Linked DNA regions of Caenorhabditis elegans. The protein of the gene in region 1 interacts with the protein of each later gene in a pairwise test. Each region holds a gene or a part of one and is shown on either strand. Other genes may lie near its edges.

Region 1 (4,615 bases):
TTAAAGTCTAAAATTTGGAAAAAAAATTAGACTTTAAACTTGAAATTTGTAGAATAAATTCCTCAAATTTTTAATTTTTTTGCTTGAAAATATATTAGTTTATTAGTTTACTTAACAATTTTAAAACCCAAAATTTTAATTTTCGCCGATTTTTTAAGGTTTTCCCATTTTATTTTCCAACTTTTTATCTAAAAATTGCAGAAATCCTGATTTTTTTTTCCGATTTCAGTGAATTTGCACCTTGTTTGTAATATTAATCAGCATATCAATCTCCTTAAGAGCCAGCTCATCATCGTGTTGGGGATTGTAGACAAATTTCACGCGAGCCATTTCTTTCGTTTTCGTAGTTTCTGCGTCTGTGCTCGCCGAGGCTGCAGAGCTCGCAAATGTGCTGCTGAATTTGGTTTCCAAGGCTTTGAGCACTGGAGCCGGGTCCGAGATTATCTGAAATTTTGATTTATTTGATTTAAGTGAAATTCTTCAGTTTCTGTATTTAAAAAATGTTTGAATAAAGTGCTGAGAAGCCATTTATGGAATTTTTTAATTGGAAAAAAACTATTTTCTTTTCAGTTTTTTAAAATTTAATTTTTCAGTTTTTTTTTGTTTTTGTCGAAGATAACTTTAATAAAAAATTGTAATGTAACAAATTTTAATTAAAAAATTTTTTCACTTCTAACCAGAAACTTACAATTAAAAGCTGAAAAAAAAGAGTTTTGGAACAAATTAAAAAAAAAATGTTTGGATATTTATATTTTTTGAATGAAAAATTAGCTGAAAATCAAAAAATAAATCGGCAAATAGGCAAATTGCCGGAACTTTTAAATTTCCGGCAAATCGGTAAAATGGCGGAATCGTAATTTCCGGCAAGTCGGCAAACCGGCAATTGCCAATTTTCCGGATTTCATCGACAAAAAATTGTTGATTTTCAATTATTTAAATTATTTGAATTTTTCCAAAAATTTGAATTTTTGCCATAAAAACTGATGTCTCAGGCACCGATATTTAAGTAAAATCTGTATTTTTGGGATTTTTCAGATTTTTTTCGCTACACGAACCGTCGACGGAGTTCTATCAATAGCTTTCGGCTCGCTTCTCATCACAACTTCACTTCCAATCGATTTTGCCGGAGTTCGAGCTGCTGAGCCCGCCGAAGTTGATGCACTAGCCGCTGGAGCAACTGCAGCAGCAGATGTGCTCGGCGTAGGCTTCAACGTCACAAAATTCGTCGGGAACATTCCGACGGCTCCAGTCGACTTGAGTTTTCCCTTACTCCAGCCATCTTCAACATCAGAGATCAGTTCGATGAGATCTCCGACGACAAAGCTTAGCTCATCGTCTTGTTTTGAGCTGTAGGCATACGTGGCCACGTATATTTGAGCTTGTGGTTGTGGAGGGGGAGCTGCAAAAAATATTTAAATTATTTTTTTGTAAATTTACACAAATTTTAATTTTTTTTTTCGAATTTTTTAGATATTTTTTTTCAGGATTTTCATGATTTTTTTTTAATTGTTAGAGCTATTTTAATATTGTCCCTCGACGAGTTTTTGAGCACCAGATCGTGAAAAAATCACGAAAATCGTGGCGGGACCCATTCGATCCAAGCCCCGCGCCTTTAAAAATGTTTGGATCTTTTTTTCAGTGTTATAATAATAATAATTGAAAACTGGAAGAAAAAAACATCTTTTTTAATTTGAAAAAAAATTAATAAAACTACAAGATTTTAGTGGAATTTAATTGGAAAAACTTTCAGATCGGCCGTTTTTTCCCCGAATTTTCTAGAGCTTTTTGAGAAATTTTCCTATTTTCTCGGACCAAAGCTCTAGAAAATTCGGAGCAAAAAAACGGCCAATCTGAACATTTTTCTAGTTAAATTCTACAAAAATCTTGTAATTTTATCTTTTTTTTCAAATTCGTCAAAAATAGTTTTTCTTCCAGTTTTCAAATATTATACATACTGAAAAAATATCCAAACATTTTTTAAAGGCGCCGGTTTTGGATTAAATGGGTCTCGCCACGATTTCCATGATTTTTTAAAGATTTGGTGCTCGAAATAACGTGATTAAATTTTAAAAATTAGAAACATTTAAAAAGAAAAATTTTCACAAATGAGAAAATCTCCGGTTTTTTTTTCATTTTTTCGACTGAAATTCTCAAATTTTTCGGTTTTTTTTTCAAAATTTCCAACTTTTTTCTAAAACAAACCTCTCCGTTCCACCTGTTGATGTACTGTAAATGGATTTCGATTTGTCATATCTCGGGAAAGTCGATTCACAATATCTCGCACATTTCCAGCGACTACTTCTGTCTGAAAATTGGCAATTTTTAGATAAAGATTTTAATCTGAAGTCTTTTATTTTTTCAAAAAATCACAATTTTCCGATTTTCTTTTGTTTTACATATGTTTTCTTTAAAAATTGCAGTTTTTACACATTTACTTGGAAAAAATAAAAAATTTTCACTTTTCCTAAAAAATCCCAAAATTTCCCATATTTTTATCCCAAAAATTGTAACTTTTTTTTCAAAAAATCATAATTTTTACAATCTGTTTTTTTAAAAAAAAATCAAAATTCTCACACTTTTTTTCCGAAAACTCTTATTTTTACCAATTGTTTTTGACAAAAAAATCGCATTTTTCTAAATCTTTTCAATCAAAAAATAACATTTTTACGTTTTTTGCCCAAAAATCTTAATTTTTACAATTTTTTTTTCCAAAAACGGAAATGTTTCAAATGTTTTTTATTTGCAAAAAAACAAAATTTTCACACTTTTTTAAAAATCTCAATACTAAAAAATCGAATTATTTTTTCTAAAAAGTCGGAATTTTTTAATTTTTTTAATCAAATAATGGCAATTTTCTCATTTTTTTTATCCAAAAAATTTGCAATTTTCATGACTTTTTCGACAATTTTCTCAATTTTCCAAAAAAAAAAAAAAAGAGATTACGAAATATACTAACTTCACCAACTTGTGCCATTTGTCCTCGATCCGCGAGTGTCCAACAAAAAAAACAGTTCAAGGCGGCTCTCGGATACAATTCTGGAAAAAATCACAATTTTTTTTAATTTTAAAATTAAATAAAGACTTTTGTGATTTTTTCAAGATTTCCAAGGTAACGTCAAAAAACCAAACAACGGCCAAAAAAAAAGGCGAAAATCGATAAGGAATTGTTTGTGCAGTGATGGTGGAAAATGTGGGGCAATAAAGTCAAAAACTTCTGTTATCAGTGGGGAGATGTGGAGAAAAATTTTGAAAAAAAACGTGGAGTGAATTTCAATTTTCACTTCTTCAATTGTGTGAGTTTCCCCCGAATGAGTCATCGCAGTGGTGTCTCCTATCGAGCGCCGCCGCGGGAAAGATCAATCACTTTTCGAACGTGTCCCCCTCCCCCACCCCCCTCTTCAATGCGTTGATGACCTGTGAACAGAAAAAAACGCGGCCAAAACAATAAAATCTCGTAAATTTATATTTTGATCGAGATGACATATTTAGGAATATATAATACGAAAATGCAAAATTCTGAGAATGCGAAAAAATTGTGAAAGTTTCGAAATTTTTTTTGAAAAAAAAAGGTGTAAAATTTCAATTTTTGAAAAGAAAAAAAAATTAAAATCTCGGTTTTTTAAACGAAAATTGAAAAAAAATCGAATTTTTTGAACTAAAAGTGTAATTTTAATTTTTAGATTGAAAACAATGTGAGAATTCCAAATTTTTGACACGCTTTCTCATTCATTATGACGGATATTACACGGTAACACGAAGTTGTGAGAATGCGTATTGCACAACATATTTGACGCTCAAAATATCTCGTAGCGAAAACTACAGTAATTCTTTAAATTACTACTGCAGCGCATGTGTCGATTTACGGGCTCGATTTTTGAAATGAATTCAAATAATTTAATTTAAGATTTAAAAATTAAGCAAAAAGTGAGAAAATAGGTAATACAAAGAAACTACTTTTTTCATGTCAAGAATCGAGATCCCGTAAATCGACACCAGTGCTACAGTAGTCATTTAAAGAATTACTGTAGTTTCCGCTACGAGATATTTTGAGCGTCAAATATGTTACGGAATACGCATTTTTACGAGTTTTGTGTTACAGTAATAACGGTCACAATAAATGATTTCCATTTTTGGAAAGGATAAGAAAATCTCGTTTTATTGGTGGAAAAATTGAATAAAAATCGATTTTCGAGACTTTTTTGTCTAAAAATCAAAATAACACTTTTTTAATCGAATTTTTCAATTTTTTCCTTCAAAAAATCAATTTTTCGCGCTTGTTTTTGATAAAAAGGACTCAAAATTTATTTTTTCGAAATATTTTTGAAATAAAACCAAAAAAAAATTTTTGGACCAAAAAATCGAACTGATTTTCGATTATTTTTTTTGAAAACCGTAAAGCTTTTGAAATTTTTGGGAAAATGCAGAAAACTGACAAAATCTCAATTTTTTAAAGTTTTTTTTTCGATTTTAACATCGCGCGAATTTTTTTGTCGACAAATTCGACAAATCGGCAAATTGCCTATTTACTGGATATTTGAATTCCGGCAATTTTCCGGTTTGCTGATTTGCCGGAAATGTTTAGAGGGATTTTTTATAAGACGGAAACACTTAAAAC
Region 2 (6,184 bases), on another chromosome or scaffold:
CTCAAATTTAAAAAATTGCAATAGTTAAGCCCGTTTTCGGAAAAAAATAGTTTTCAATTTCTCTGAAACGTCAAATTATAAAATTTCTCGACTACTTAGCAAAAACTATTCTGTACGCTGGACAAAATGCAAAATTCAAATGACAAAGCACTAGGATTTTGAGTTTCCAAAAGGCTGTAACTGAACATATTACTCAAAAATTGCAGTTTTACGGGGAATTTTCGAGATTGTAGATCAGTTAACAACTTAAAAAAGATAGTGTAGGCCACAAAAGATTATCCCATTCCACCCTTTAAACCCTTTTACTTTTCCAGAAAAACGTATACAACGAGGAATTTGTGACCCCTGCAAAACTCCGTTATCTCCGTGATGATCTGGAAGCCGCCGAGGAGCATCTGAAAAAGTTGCTTGAAACCTCCCATTGACGCGTTTGATCGAAACGGATTCTGTACATACCTTCCAAATTGTTATTTTTTGTGCTGTGAAGAAATGAAAATAAAATATATTGCTTTTTTCGCAAATCGAATCGGTTTTATTTGAGAAATTTATTTTTAATGGAATGGTGGTTTGGCACTGGAATGTAGAGAGACAATTGACTAGAGTTTAGTTAAGAATTTAAGTAAAACAAATAATTTAAAATCGAGTAATAATGAAATTATCGTCGTCTTCGGATTCTGAATCTGATGGGATCATTGCGGCTGCTGAAGGTGGTGGAAGCATGATGAAAGCGTCATTAATCTGAAAATAGTGGGAATTTGAATAATTTTTTGAAAATTAACAAGTGCCAGGAAATAGGACAACTACTGAAGGCTCCCCAGTTAATGATATTTGGTACAAAATCTATTTAGAAATATCTGCTAGGGTATGCAACCTGCCTCGTAGGAAATCTTAACCTATTAGCACTATTTTTGCTCATTACTTGGTTTGATCGATCGTTTGCTTAAAAATGTCTGCACGTACCTATGACAGAAAATTGTATTGAGAGCCCACTTATACATTTTGCTCAGTCTCAGAGAGAAACTTGGGTACGTGCGGACCCATGACCCACCATTCCAAAGAAAAATTTTGTCTAAAGAATTTCTCGAATTTCTTGCTTCTCTAAATCTATTTCTACTGGAAATTCGCAAGTAGTCAGCTGCTTCTTTTTGTTTTCGATCACCTTGTGATCCTATGAATGGCAGTTCCAATCAACAAAAGTACTTTCTCGGAAAAATTGGAAACTAGGGGTAATTAGCAAACTATTTCAAATTCCAATAAGCTTATCTTGGCGATTGATCTTTTATCACTACTAGTTACCTTGTCTTTTGTCGCTTCCACCCGATCTTCTTGTTCATCATTTATTTTTGTATCTCCCACCACTTGAAACTCCTCCCCAATCACGTTTTCGCCCTTTATCTCCTCTTCGACATTTTCTTCTTCTTCTTCTTTTAACGGTTCCGTTGAGACCTGCGAAGAAAAACAAATGAAGAAGAACATTGGTGATTGTTGACTTTTTGATGTTTGTATCGGTTTCATTTAAATAGATTTATATTTGTTCTAGAGGGGAGAGAATAAATTATAGAATCAGGTCAAAGGGTAGCGGAACTGATTTGCTTTCGAAAATGTGAGAATAACTGTGAAAATCGTGAGTACGACTAGATCCAAGTAATTGGAGCAAATATCGTTTAGGTTCAGGAGCACCCGTTCTTGAAACTTTTGCCCCCCCCCCCTCTCATTCAGATTCACAAATATCTATTTTATGGTGACTCATCAAATGGTCAGAAATATGATTCAAAAGTTGAAAGTAATACTTTAATTCCGTAATTCCTCTCTTAATGTTGCACCTACATAACTGATCTTGTGGATCACACAAGAAAGCTTACCGTCTTTCTGCTCCTCGGCTTTGGCACGGGCGGTACAAACTCTTCTTCAACTTCCCGATCCCTTTTCAGAACTTCCACATCATCATCCTCCCCAACCGTCGACAGAATACTTGACACAGTATCTGCATTTGATCTTGACGAGGTAGTGGAAACATCCGTGTTCCCAGATGAAGACGTCATTCTTCCGATGGACATTGGCATTGTTGCTGACTTGATCCTCTTATCATATAAGAACCTGGCAATTGCAGGAGGTACTCCACTTTCGTCACTTGAGCGGAGGTCTAGCGCATTTTGCTTTGTCAAGGCTCTTCCATTGATTAATACTGTACCAGGAGCTTCGGGAGCATCAAAGCTTGGAGCTTCATATGAGGGAGGTGGTCGGTTGGGAGGCATACTCACAGGCCGAGCGGAGAACGCAGGAATAAATCCTGGAGCTTGGAATGTTGGAGAGGAGAGGTCTGGAGGGAGGCTTGGAGCTTTTGGAGCCGGTCCTTTTTTCTTCCGAAGTCTAATTGTCTCTGGAGCTACCCCCAACTCATACTTCTCCACCAAATGCTTCATAAAAGCCCGATCTTTTTCTAGTGCAAGCGTCGGATAACCCGATTCGTCAGTACTGATTGTGGATAATTGATCCCTATCGAGATCATCCAGGTCATCCAACCAATCGTCAAGCTCATCCAAGATCTTTCTCCCTTGAACGGATGTGCTCCGAATAGTTGACATATAATTCGAGTCATCCGGCGGACTCGCCGGACTCAATATCGGTGTCTCCTCCTGATTCTTCGGGATTGCCAAAGGCCGATGCAACGGAGAAAGTGTATTGAGAGGTGGTGTACTTTTAACAATTGGAATGCAATCATCGAGACCGAAACTAAAAGCACCACCAAGATCACCCGGTCTTTCGATCACCAGAGAGTTAGGCTTCGGTGCAACGATTCGGTCGGCGGTTTGGATTTTTGGAGGTGGAGCTATGTGTGTTGAGATATTCGAAGTGTGGGAGATTGACCTGAAAATTGAAAAATTTTTAAACTTCAGGGTCCAATCAAGAAATACCGAAAAACTACAGGTTGCTCTGAGATTTCTGATGTTTCCTCCTCGTCGTCTTGGGCGTTGAAGATCAAATTCGGCTTGCTGTTCCTGAAAGTTTAATTCTCAACCAACTTTTGATTCAGTTGTCAAATTTGAAAGCGCCAGTAAGAAACTTAATTCTAAAGGAAGTACTTCTTGGAATTGAGGTAAAAAACTAATTCAAAAACTGTGTTGTTAGAAAATGTCATACAAATACTCACTGTGGAGGAGGAGTAGGGGGAGCTGGAGCCTTATAATTTTTCTTGCTCGGACGTGGTGGAGCAATATTTATGTATTGGTGGGATGTTGGTTGATTCTCGTAACCTCTGACAACTTCAACCTCTTCTTCACTTTTTGAAGCTGATGGGAAAGCATCATCTAGTCCAACTCTCTGAAAAGTTGAACTTTTTTGGAGAAAAGTAATTAAATAGTTCCCTACATCTTTTTCTTTTCTCTGCGATCGGAGTGTACTATTCGACGAGGAGGGTCTTATGTAGTAGCTGCTGAATTCTTTATTCATCCACATTGAATTCAAGTAATGCTTGTAGATCACAAACCTTTCATTAACCGTATCAATCACATTATCGCTCGTCCGAAGATTTTCAATTTCCGATGATCCCATTGGACCGACATGAGCCAAATGCCTGTAATATAAAAATTGACTATGATAGATTGTTTAAAACCTAAAACACAATGAGTAAAACTAATACGAATGTAACTAATTCGTCTCCGAATCTACTAATTGTAAGAAACTAATTCGTATGAAAATTGTAAGTTTTAGACGTATGGAGGCACGGGAGAGTACAGAGAAGCTGAGTGTCTTAACTCTCCTCCTCTCATATCTTTTTAAACAATTAAAATGGCGAATTGCGAAAAAATTGAGAATTTAAAAAATTTCAGGTAACGTGATTTGTATTATTTTATTTTATTTTTTACGACAATAGCCCATAGTGTAAGATTTAACGCTTGGTACCTATAATATATAACAATGTTTTATCAATTGTTGCTAGTCCACGTGTGATTAGGTACTACATAACAATTTTAAACTTAATATTCATAGTTGACATGTATGCTAGTTTTGCATTATTGTTTCTATCACTGATTATTTTCATGACTGAATTGTTGGCGGTTCCAGCTGTGTCAGCTAAATTACCTAGCAAAATGGTAAGTTTTGTTTCCAAGGTTTCTGATTTCTAAAACTTGGAATTTCAGTCTATGGATGTCAATATGATAATAAAAGAATGTTGTAATGAGATAAGTGTAGAGTGTTGTAAGCCTAATATTTTTGAATAAACTGTTCATGTTTCTAAATGTTCCTCATTTCTAAATGTTATATCAATTAAAAAAAGCACAATCAGCACAATCAATCAGCTATTGGCTAAATCTTGATGAAAGTTATTACACTGTAAAAATGGGTTGGTTAGAGAGTGTGGGGGAGGGGAGAGTGCAAGAACTCCGCTTCTTTCTCGGGCCTAAAACGTCGACATGTCATAATCCCGCTTGAAGCTAACCTACTAATGTTCTTCAAGAACGAATTTGCAGATACATTCCAATTCGAATGTACGGATTAACATAACATCCTCAACTTTTATTCCTTACCTGAAATCCGACGGCAGTGAGATCATAGTTTTATCCAAGTGTTTGTGCTGATTCTTCGGAGGCAGCAACGGCAAGTCGTTGGGCATTTTCCATAAACCCGGTTCCTGTCTTAAATCAAGAATAAAGTAACAAGAGGCAAAAAAAATCAATGGTCAAACCACGCAAGTTGTTGCAAAAACTGTGGAGAACAGACACCCGGAGTAACTGAGAGAGAAAGGGGAATAGAGAAATAACCGATAAAAACGTGTAAGCAGTTGGAAAAAGAGTAGTGATAAGGAATTATTGAGAAGGAGGTGATGTGTTGAAAGAATGATTCATTTGGAATTGGAAGCCAAGAAGTTTGAAGCTCCAATGACACCCGTGCTCAAGCTCCGCCCAAAGACGCTTGTAAGGAATCTTGAGTTTTGTAGCATGGCGGAATATTGAAGCGTCGTTCGATGGCTCCAAAATTTTGACCACTTTCAGGTACTGCATAAAATCAATTGAAAAATGTTAAAATTCAGATTAACATAGAAAAATCTAGCATAGAAACTACCTTTCAAATATTTCAAAAAGTGTTATCAATTTCTAGCAAATAGCAAATTGTTCTTGCTGATCTCCCATAGATTACTCAGATCAAATTGACAAGAGACGCAGCATGTTGAAGTGAAAAAAGAAAACATGTGTCGATCTGATGAGTAATCTCTTGAGGCTAAAAACCGGGTTACGGAAGGGTATTATGTATATGTATACTCTAGTGTTTGACTGCAAGTCGGACGATATTTCGCAATTTGTTTAACATTGATTTACGAAACCTTTGATGTTTTTAATGTATTACCGAAGATTTACTAGGATTATTTTTGTTTCGTAAAGAATTTAAAATGTGTTGTCATATTTGAAATAATGTTTTAAGCAACTTTGTTCATCATCAAAATTTAAAAAATTCCAAATATTAGTAGTAGTTTATTTGTTTTAATGTATAATATAAAAATCTTTAAAAAATATTCTTCTATTACATATCATCCAAAATTCCGATAGTCCGTCTCAAAATCTCCTGAGCTTTGTGTTCCCTTTCGTCAGCTCCACTTTTCAAATCCAAACTCTCATCCTTATACATTTTGTAGTAATACGACAGACTGAATAGTGACGTGGCATTCACAAAATTGAAGTGAGTTCGATAGGATTCTTCGAGTTGGGAGAAAGTGAAGGGAGCCGTGGAAAAATGAGATTTGAAGGTCGTATAGTAGTGGTTCAGGTATCTGGAAAATGGAAACTGACTCTTTGTTTTGAAATGTGTTTTATATCTCCGAACCCGATTTTCAAATCTCGGCCAAAAAGCGGGCCATTTCAATTTTTACTTCTTTCGGTTATTGAAAATGTTTAGACTTAGAAAAAGATACCTTTGAGTATTTGCTCTTCGATTTTCCACTGACAATCCAAGGCACAAAATACGAATAATATCAAAGGAGACGGGACCCTTTGACACGTGCTGGAAATCGATAAATGCCTGGATCTGAAATTATTCAATTTTATTATTAGGAGTAATTTTATATTCTATGACACGTAGTCCTCTTGGACAACTCTACCTTTCCAGTTTCATTATTCCATAGAACATTTGACGCGTTCAAATCATTATGACATATCACCAATGGCATTCCAAGTTTTTCGTTTTTCTT
Region 3 (7,954 bases), on another chromosome or scaffold:
GTAGTTAGTGGGAAATGGTGATGTAGTTAAGAGTACAGTAGTTTCAATCTACTTCCTAGTAACGGTACGGTAATTTGAAAGGATACTGTAGGCAGAGTATGGCAGATTGGCGTTTGGATACTGTAGTTAAAGGCGCAGTAGCCTAAGTGTGAGCAAGAGTACTGTAGTTGAGCTTTTGCGGGTTACGGTCACTCTAGTTAAAGTTCCAAGGGGGGGGGGGGGGTTATGTACCTTTAATACTGCTGTGAGGGATATTACTGTAACCAAAAGTATTTTTTAATAATTACTGTAGTTTGGGTACTGTAGTCAGGTTACTGTAAGCTGGTATTTTGGGGTAAGAAAACTTGTCTAGGAGGTACGGCTGTAGTAACAAATAGCGAAAAATGTAGCAACAAATTCAAAATTTTTTGAAAATCGTTCTCTGTTGGTACAGTACCCAAATCAAACCACCACCATCACCACATAAATAGCATAAGACCGAAAATAATCAACACGCAACGTGCTAAGTGAACTGAATGAACCCAAAAAGAACGACCATATTTATGAAAATCTTTTCTTTTTTCTCTTTTATATGTATCTGCCTCCTGCTGCAGGCCTTCAAAGATCATAAGAACATGAGAAAGTTGGAGATGGTTTCTGGGTTCAAATCGGGTTGAACTCAAGTAGGAACACACCAGAACCCTCAGAAATCAGAAATGAACATTGCAAATATTTTTTTCGATTGGTAGAAAAAAAAATGAAAACAAGCATACTGTGTAAGCGAGAGAGTCTCAGGAATACTTGTTCTAGGAATCGGGAGAAACCAAAATAATTTTTTTTTGCAAAGTTGCATGCTTTATTCGATGTAATAATATTATTTGCGATAAATAAAAAAATTATTTAAAAAAATTTAAAAATTATTTTTAAAAACACCATCACAACACCATCGTTCCGAGTACTTCCAGTAGCAAGGAATCTCAATTTATAATTGAATAATTCTATTTCCAACTTGTCCAAGTCATCATCACTGCCTTCAAACCCTGGGGCGAATACTTTGACAATATCACGAATATTAGAAATTCTCCCAGTGCACGAGCCTTCGTTCAAAGTGGATGTTCTTTCGAGAAGCTGGAAAAATTAAACATTTTGGGGATCGGGATCCATAGTAAAGGTGGAGTAGCGCCAGTGGGGAAACTGTTAAAAACTACTCCAATTGTGCCGAAATGACCGAGTATCATAATAACACTCTTCAAAAAAAATTTTGAAATTTTTTATATACTGTCAAAAAGTGACAATTACTCAGTTTTTGCTACTCATAATTTTGGAAGTCGACCAAAAAAAAAAATTTTTTTCTACATTTTTTATACATTAATTTTGTTTTAATGATTCATATTAAAACGGGAAAACTGAGTTCAGTTTAATATTTCCGCGCAAAGTGATTACTAGAGATACAGGCATTGTTTTTGTTTTTTCCGCAGTATTGGATTTTGTTGTCAAACTTTATTACACACTTGATCAGCTGGGAAGAGCTTTAGGAATGCAACGACGGTGTGCACTTTCATAACTTCATCAGTGTTTTGAGATTATCGAGAAGTTCAAAATGTATTTTCAAACAAAAAAAGTATGTCTACTGAAACTATGTCTACTGAAACTGCTCAAAAATTTACTCAACTGAGGTCATCTACACTAATTTTCCATTCTTACATTACAAATCATTCAAGAATAAAAAATGTGCATACAAATAAACTGTTTATTTTTTCCTTATTTCCACACATTCCCACAAATCGGCAAATATGGAAGTTTGCGGAGCGGAAAACTGATATGATGACGCAAAAAGGGAAAAGGGGGTACACGAGGTGATAAGGAGTAAATATTGGAAACAAATTTTGATTGATTGAATTTTGAAAGCTAGATTTTTTGCCAAGTTATTTTTTAAATAATTTCAGATAGACAATGATTACAGCTGAATTGAGTGATTTCTTGGAAATTAATGAAAAGGAAAGTGTTCTCAGAGGAATATCAGCAAGTGATAAGGTTCTAATTAAATAGTTATAATATTACAAAAACTGGTATTTCAGATACTTTCATCTGGAATTTGTCAATTTCTCGTTGCTGAGAATGGACAATGGAGGAAACCAGATGAAGGAGCCGCTGTGGCATTGTTCCTGAAAGTGAGTAGTGACACAGTTTTCTTAAGTTGGATTTTTGAAAATTGATTTCCGAAACATGTGACTCTTTCAATAAACATTCGAGGGACGTGTCGTAATGGTTTTTCCATTGTGATTTGGAAAATTAAAATAAAATGTTTCGAACATTTTTCGTAGTTATTGTGGTTTTCTGAAAACGCACTTATAACTTTTCTTGGCTAAAACTCTAAATCTTTTGGTCTTATTTTCGAAATTTTAAGTTCTTTTTCAGAACAGTACGGAGCGATATTACCGGATAATAGTAATGGAACCATCTGCAGATCCAGATTGGGAACCAACAATTCAATTTGATTTTCTTATTAGGTAATCTTGAATATAATTTGATTTCAACTAACACTATGATTATAGAGACAAAAGGTTTGAAACAATACAGGAACATGCGAGATTACTCGTTTTTGAGGCAGAATCCAGATATATTGGATTGAACTTTTACGACTCAAAGGAATGTGAGAACTTTCACAATAGTGTTTGTAAACGACAAAGTGAGTATATTATTACTTGAATAAATCGAATTTGAAAAAGAGTAATATAGGAAAGGAAAGTAACTCCACTTGCTACATTTTCAAATTGAAACTTGGAACTTGAATTTCAGCGAGAAGTACCGATAAAGCAAAGCAGCCAGCATTGGAGGGAAAGAAGAAGAAGAAAAGTAGTTTCTATCATAATCCATTCAAATCCCACAAGGAACCAAGAAAACAAGTTGAATTTGGAGCACCAATAGATTTTCGGCATGTTGATGGTTTGAAGTTGACAGATGTACAAGAAGATTTGTATATGCAAGTTAGGAGTAGATTGAATGTATAGTTTTCCAAACCTCTATTGCCAAGACTACGTTGAAATTTCAGGTGAATAATCCAGAAGAAGAAGAGGAAATTGTGAAGCAATTGATTGTAAGAAATGAAGATCATATTAGACAATCATTGATGGTGAAAAAAGAGTCTCAAACTGTGAAAGGGGTTAAGGACAAACATAAAGATAAAGTCAAAACAAGTAAAGTGAGTCCGAAAATTGACAAAAGTCGACAAATAAGACTCCAAAACATTGTTGTCCAAAATTTGAAAATCTAAGACCGATTTATTTCTTTTTTCAGAGCTTTTTTGGACGTAACAAACCAAAAGTCGAGGATGTTTCTCAACCGATTGTACCAGTCATCACTGGTGATCCATTGAATCCCGATTGGACAGTAACCGCAGCAACATCATTCAAACATAGTCACACTTTTGCTGCGATCGATCCCATCAAGACTACGGACTGGGAAACTCCGAGAAAAGATACTTATGGATCTACAAATCAGCGACAGCCTCAAAACATTTATAAATTCGAACAAGAACACGTTGAACAAACTTATCAAATTGAGAAAATTGAAGTGGACGATACACCGACAGAGTTGCCAAGTAGAGGTGCTTCAAGAAATCCAGAAGATCAGATGACTAGAGGAGGTAGGTATATTGAATGTATTTAGTAAGGAAGGAAAGTTGATTTCTGTTTGGTACTGATTAAGAGATGGGCTTCAGTTTTCAAAAAAAAAAAGATAGGTGCCAGTGTTTGTAGAGCTTCTCAGTAGGCAGCTTCATTGCAACATCTGCTGAATAACTCTCAAATATGTTTTCAAGCTTTTACCAAACAGTTGCAATTTTGGAAAGTAAATTTTGATAAAAGAACTTGACTCAAGGGGGTCAAAGATTGTCAGATGTTTCCAGGAGTGGTGTTTTTTTAACTTTTATTATTATTATTCGGACATTCTTCATATACTGTTTATTTCCAGGTCTCTCAACTCCTCGAATTCCAACTCATCGTGACTCCTATCGTTGGGCTACAAAACCAGACACTGTACCAAAGCAGACTCCTCCTCCAACTCCAAATGCACCTTCACATTCTCATCAAGTTGATCAGTTTGCTGAGTTCAAACTAGTGGAACCTAAAACACCAACACGAGTGGCTCCACCGCCCCCTCCTTCGGCTCCGCCTACTATTAAATTCCCTATTTCGACTGGAACATCGTACTCTTCGACAACTCCACCTACCACTCCAAAACCTGCTCCTCCTCCTCCATCACGTATTCCAAATCCTTCTCCTTCTCCGCAACCTGCCGAAGTTAGTAAATCTCCACCACCACCTCCACCACTTCCACCGATTGCAACGCCTTCTTCTGTACCTCCACCTCCACCTCCACCACCGGCTCTAGAACAAGAAATCTCTGGGCCACCAACAGTTAGATTAACTGCTGTTCCAGAATCTAATTCTGATCGAAGAAGTCTAATGGATGTAAGTTTCGACTTAATCAATATTTTTCTATGAATCTTTTTTCAGCAAATCCGTTCAATCGATCGTTCACAAGTCTTGCGTAAAGTCAGTGATACACCTGACACGAGGCAATCTGTCCCATCACCGACGTCTGGAACAATTGTCGATCAGATTCAGAACTTCCTCGATGCAAGAAGATCCGGAATAAATCCAAGTGATTCGGAAGAATCTGAATACTCTACAGTAACCGCAGCAACATCATTCAAACATAGTCACACTTTTTCTGCGGATCCCATCAAGGATCCATCAGTGCTGCTGAATAGAAGCGCTTCAGTGCGAGTTCGAGGAAGTAAGTTGATTGACTGAGAGCGACATTTTGTGTGTTTAATTTTGACTTCAGCCATGTAAAATTCGTATTCAAACAAAAACTAGATTCAGACAAAAAATTGCAATTAAATTGTATTTTTATGCAAATCAAGGTCTCTTCATGTACATCAAAAATACATTTTCTTCATAAACCCTATTTAAACGCGATCACGGGTTTGTCTTTGAATCACCAAAAACAGTCTGAAATTCGATAATAACAAAGACTAGCGGGCCCTGCGGGCCCGCCAGTTGTAGGGGGTGTAAGGCGAGTCCCCTTGCCGGGCGTAGGTTCTCGGCTTCGCCTCGAACCTGTTAGAGGGTTCGTGAAATTTTCAGTGAGTCAATGTCTTCTTGATTTTTGAGTTCGGTTTGACCAAAAACAGACGCACCCCATGACTCAGTTAAAGCTGAGTTGTGATTGATTGAAGTTTGAGGAGGATTTATATGGGGGGAGACGTACCTATATTTTGTATAAAATCGAGTATTTCTATATAATATTCGAATCCCGAATACTCAAAAAAAACAAAAAAAGTTTGTCAGCTGGTAGAATTGAACCCACTACCAAAATTTCCGCAGACATACGCACTAACCACTCGGCCATGCGGGAGAGCTCAAACTGGAAGTAAGGAAGGTAAATTTCTGGAGGGAGTCGTCTTTCGATTCCGCTTTCTTCAATTATGACTATTTGGGGAAAGACGTTCGAAAACCGTTTATCACTGATAAGTCAGCGGGAAACCTAATTTTTGAAAATTTTATTTCAGCATTGTACTCATCATAAAATTCCCGAAAGGGAGACGTACAGTTGAGGGCTATATCTTGTACACAGACAGATGTATAGAAAAAAAAACAAGTTTTGGCCTGAAAATTAAAAAAAATAATATCTCTTGGCAGAGCATTGCTAATGCGACGAAACTTCATCTTCCATTAAATAAAATCAAAAACTATGAATCAAAAATACATTCCGCAAAACTTTAGTGGAAAAAATGTTCAGGAGACCCAGGAAACCACTCCCCCCAGTACTAAATTTTTGAATTATTTTATTCTTGAAAAATTTTCCCACTGAACTTTTTACAAATTTTATATGTCTCGATGCGTCTTGATGAGACCTACACGTCAATTTTTAGAAAACTAAGAAAACTTGAAAACTGACCGAGTTATGATTGAAAAAGTAGATTCACGAAAATAGAAAAGTGTGCAAAATGTGGCACTTATTCGTCTTGCTCGGCCGACTCATAGAACTTTTCTTAATTCTGAGTTGAAAATCGTGTTCAGCGTATTTTTTTACGTGGGGTAGAAAAAAAAGTATCGAAAAAGATGAAGTAGAACTTGAGATAAAGACGAAAAACTACTTTTTCGGAAAAAAATTTTTTTTTGGCAAAATGGCATTTTTTGGCCTTTTGTTTTATCACAACTTTTTGCCTTTTGCACTTATGAACTCAAACTTTCTTTCAAAAAATCCACCTCTCTGAGTAGTATCTTGCACATAAATTTGGAACAAAACCGAGCAAAACCCGAATTTTAATTCAATTAAAACATGGTTTTTTGGGGGTAAAAAGAACAACAAAAATTTTTTTCAAACTGGGGAAAGCCGCCCTGAGCTCAGTTTTGCTCCAAACTTTGTGCAGTTTTTTGCTCCACCGTGGGGCAAAATATTTCTAGTAAGCTGTCAAATATTATAAAATTCAGTCAAACGGCTCTGGAGTTATTAATGAAAACGTAGTGTGACATTTTTTCGCAAGCCAAAAAAAACGCGAAAAAACGCGAAAAAGGGGCGGAGTCTGTACACTCGGCATTTATTAGAGGCTGCTTGGCAGAATAAGAAATCCAACTCATAAAGTCCCATTTTCAATTTAGGATAAGTTCTTTCTTTGATTTAATTCCAAAATGTGAACTGCAAAACAAATTAATGATTGTCTCCTTGCACTTTTGAACCAATCAGATGTGCTGAGTAGAAGCCACTGATTGGTTCAAAAGTGGGCGTGGCTTCTCTTTTGAACGAAGTTCAAATAGGGAGATTTGGTAAAAACATTTCCGTTTACTGTAAATAGTTATTTTATTTTCTTTGTCGTATTTCTAAATTTAAAAATTATTAATATCATTTTCTTGGTATTTTAAAGCCCCCATTCACGCTAAATACACCTTCTTTAAAAATACACAGTTCAAAATATCAATCTTCCAGGTCTCTCAACTTCTCGAATTCCACCTCATTGGGACTCCTATCGTTGGACTACAAAACCAGACACTGTTCCTAAGCAGACTCCTCCTCCAACTCACAATTCCAATGTTCTTCCTCATATTGATGAGAATGACCATGACGAGGAAAATGATATTAATGAAGAACCACCAAAACCTCCGAGAAAAAGTGTTTCCTTTCGAGTTAGAGGTGGGTAACTATGTTAGTTTTCCCAATCATACTCATTGTTCAGAAAAACCAATAGCAGAGGCTCCGCTTCGTCCTCCAGCTCGTCCTGCTCCAATTGTTCCTACTTCGGCTGGACTTTCTTTAGTGCTCGCAGCCTCACTTCCCACTTCATCAACTCCTTCTCGTTTTTTGAATCCTTTTCCTGCTCCACTACCAGCAGAAGTAAGTAATTCTCCACCAACTTTTCTACCAACCGATATTGTTATTTAATTGAACAGAAATCTGACAAAAAATATGTTTGTATTGTTTTTCTGTTTATAATAATAATTTTTATATTTGTTTCACCTTCCGCTTATTTTCAGAGCTTCTTCGGGAATAGCAAATCCAAAATCGCATATTTTATAAAACCCACAAATGAGCAACCACAAGAACTTTTTCAAACTCCCGTTCAAATAGAAAAAATATTTTCTTCTACACCATCATCACCAGTTTCAAATGCTGCAATTATAGATGGAATGAAAAATATCAGCTTATCAGACTCCTCAACATCAGTTGCACAGGATATAGCAATGAAAGTACCTACACCGCTTCCTCGCACTTCAAAAATTATTTCTGCTTCTTCTCCATTACCACCTTCACAAGATGAAATTAATCCCTTAATTGAAGTAAGATTTTTCGAACTATTCATCTCATATTTTATGATTCTCACAATGAACATTTTTCAGATGGTGGATCAATCTAGTAGTAAATCTGAAACTCAGATTCCAGTTACCGAATGCAGCCAGAATCACTTAAA

What was found. The genes of interacting proteins can lie anywhere in the genome.
Region 2: the proteins of cdap-2 (region 1) and F09F7.5 interact in a two-hybrid assay, tested with the Caenorhabditis elegans proteins (one large-scale study listed by BioGRID).
Region 3: the proteins of cdap-2 (region 1) and C31C9.6 interact in a two-hybrid assay, tested with the Caenorhabditis elegans proteins (one large-scale study listed by BioGRID).

Annotation. Positions count from the first base shown.
Region 1 is NC_003279.8:3,327,638-3,332,252, forward strand, and holds the start of cdap-2 (SH3 domain-containing protein), read right to left. Parts: upstream 3,037-4,615; 5' UTR 2,975-3,036; coding exon 2,957-2,974; intron 2,306-2,956; coding exon 2,203-2,305; intron 1,400-2,202; coding exon 1,056-1,399; intron 445-1,055; coding exon 241-444; intron 1-240.
Region 2 is NC_003281.10:5,545,563-5,551,746, reverse strand, and holds F09F7.5 (CRIB domain-containing protein), read right to left. Parts: upstream 4,638-6,184; 5' UTR 4,616-4,637; coding exon 4,530-4,615; intron 3,575-4,529; coding exon 3,488-3,574; intron 3,434-3,487; coding exon 3,370-3,433; intron 3,322-3,369; coding exon 3,152-3,321; intron 3,000-3,151; coding exon 2,916-2,999; intron 2,869-2,915; coding exon 1,863-2,868; intron 1,447-1,862; coding exon 1,297-1,446; intron 739-1,296; coding exon 634-738; 3' UTR 532-633; downstream 1-531. Other genes in the region: F09F7.6 (Ferritin), read left to right, coding at 315-425; putative kinase-like protein D1044.1, read right to left, coding at 5,521-5,767, 5,909-6,021, 6,095-6,184.
Region 3 is NC_003280.10:13,656,060-13,664,013, reverse strand, and holds the start of C31C9.6 (WH1 domain-containing protein), read left to right. Parts: upstream 1-1,923; 5' UTR 1,924-1,932; coding exon 1,933-2,013; intron 2,014-2,057; coding exon 2,058-2,150; intron 2,151-2,397; coding exon 2,398-2,489; intron 2,490-2,534; coding exon 2,535-2,668; intron 2,669-2,778; coding exon 2,779-2,984; intron 2,985-3,031; coding exon 3,032-3,181; intron 3,182-3,276; coding exon 3,277-3,625; intron 3,626-3,951; coding exon 3,952-4,451; intron 4,452-4,496; coding exon 4,497-4,779; intron 4,780-6,975; coding exon 6,976-7,179; intron 7,180-7,222; coding exon 7,223-7,380; intron 7,381-7,520; coding exon 7,521-7,823; intron 7,824-7,883; coding exon 7,884-7,954.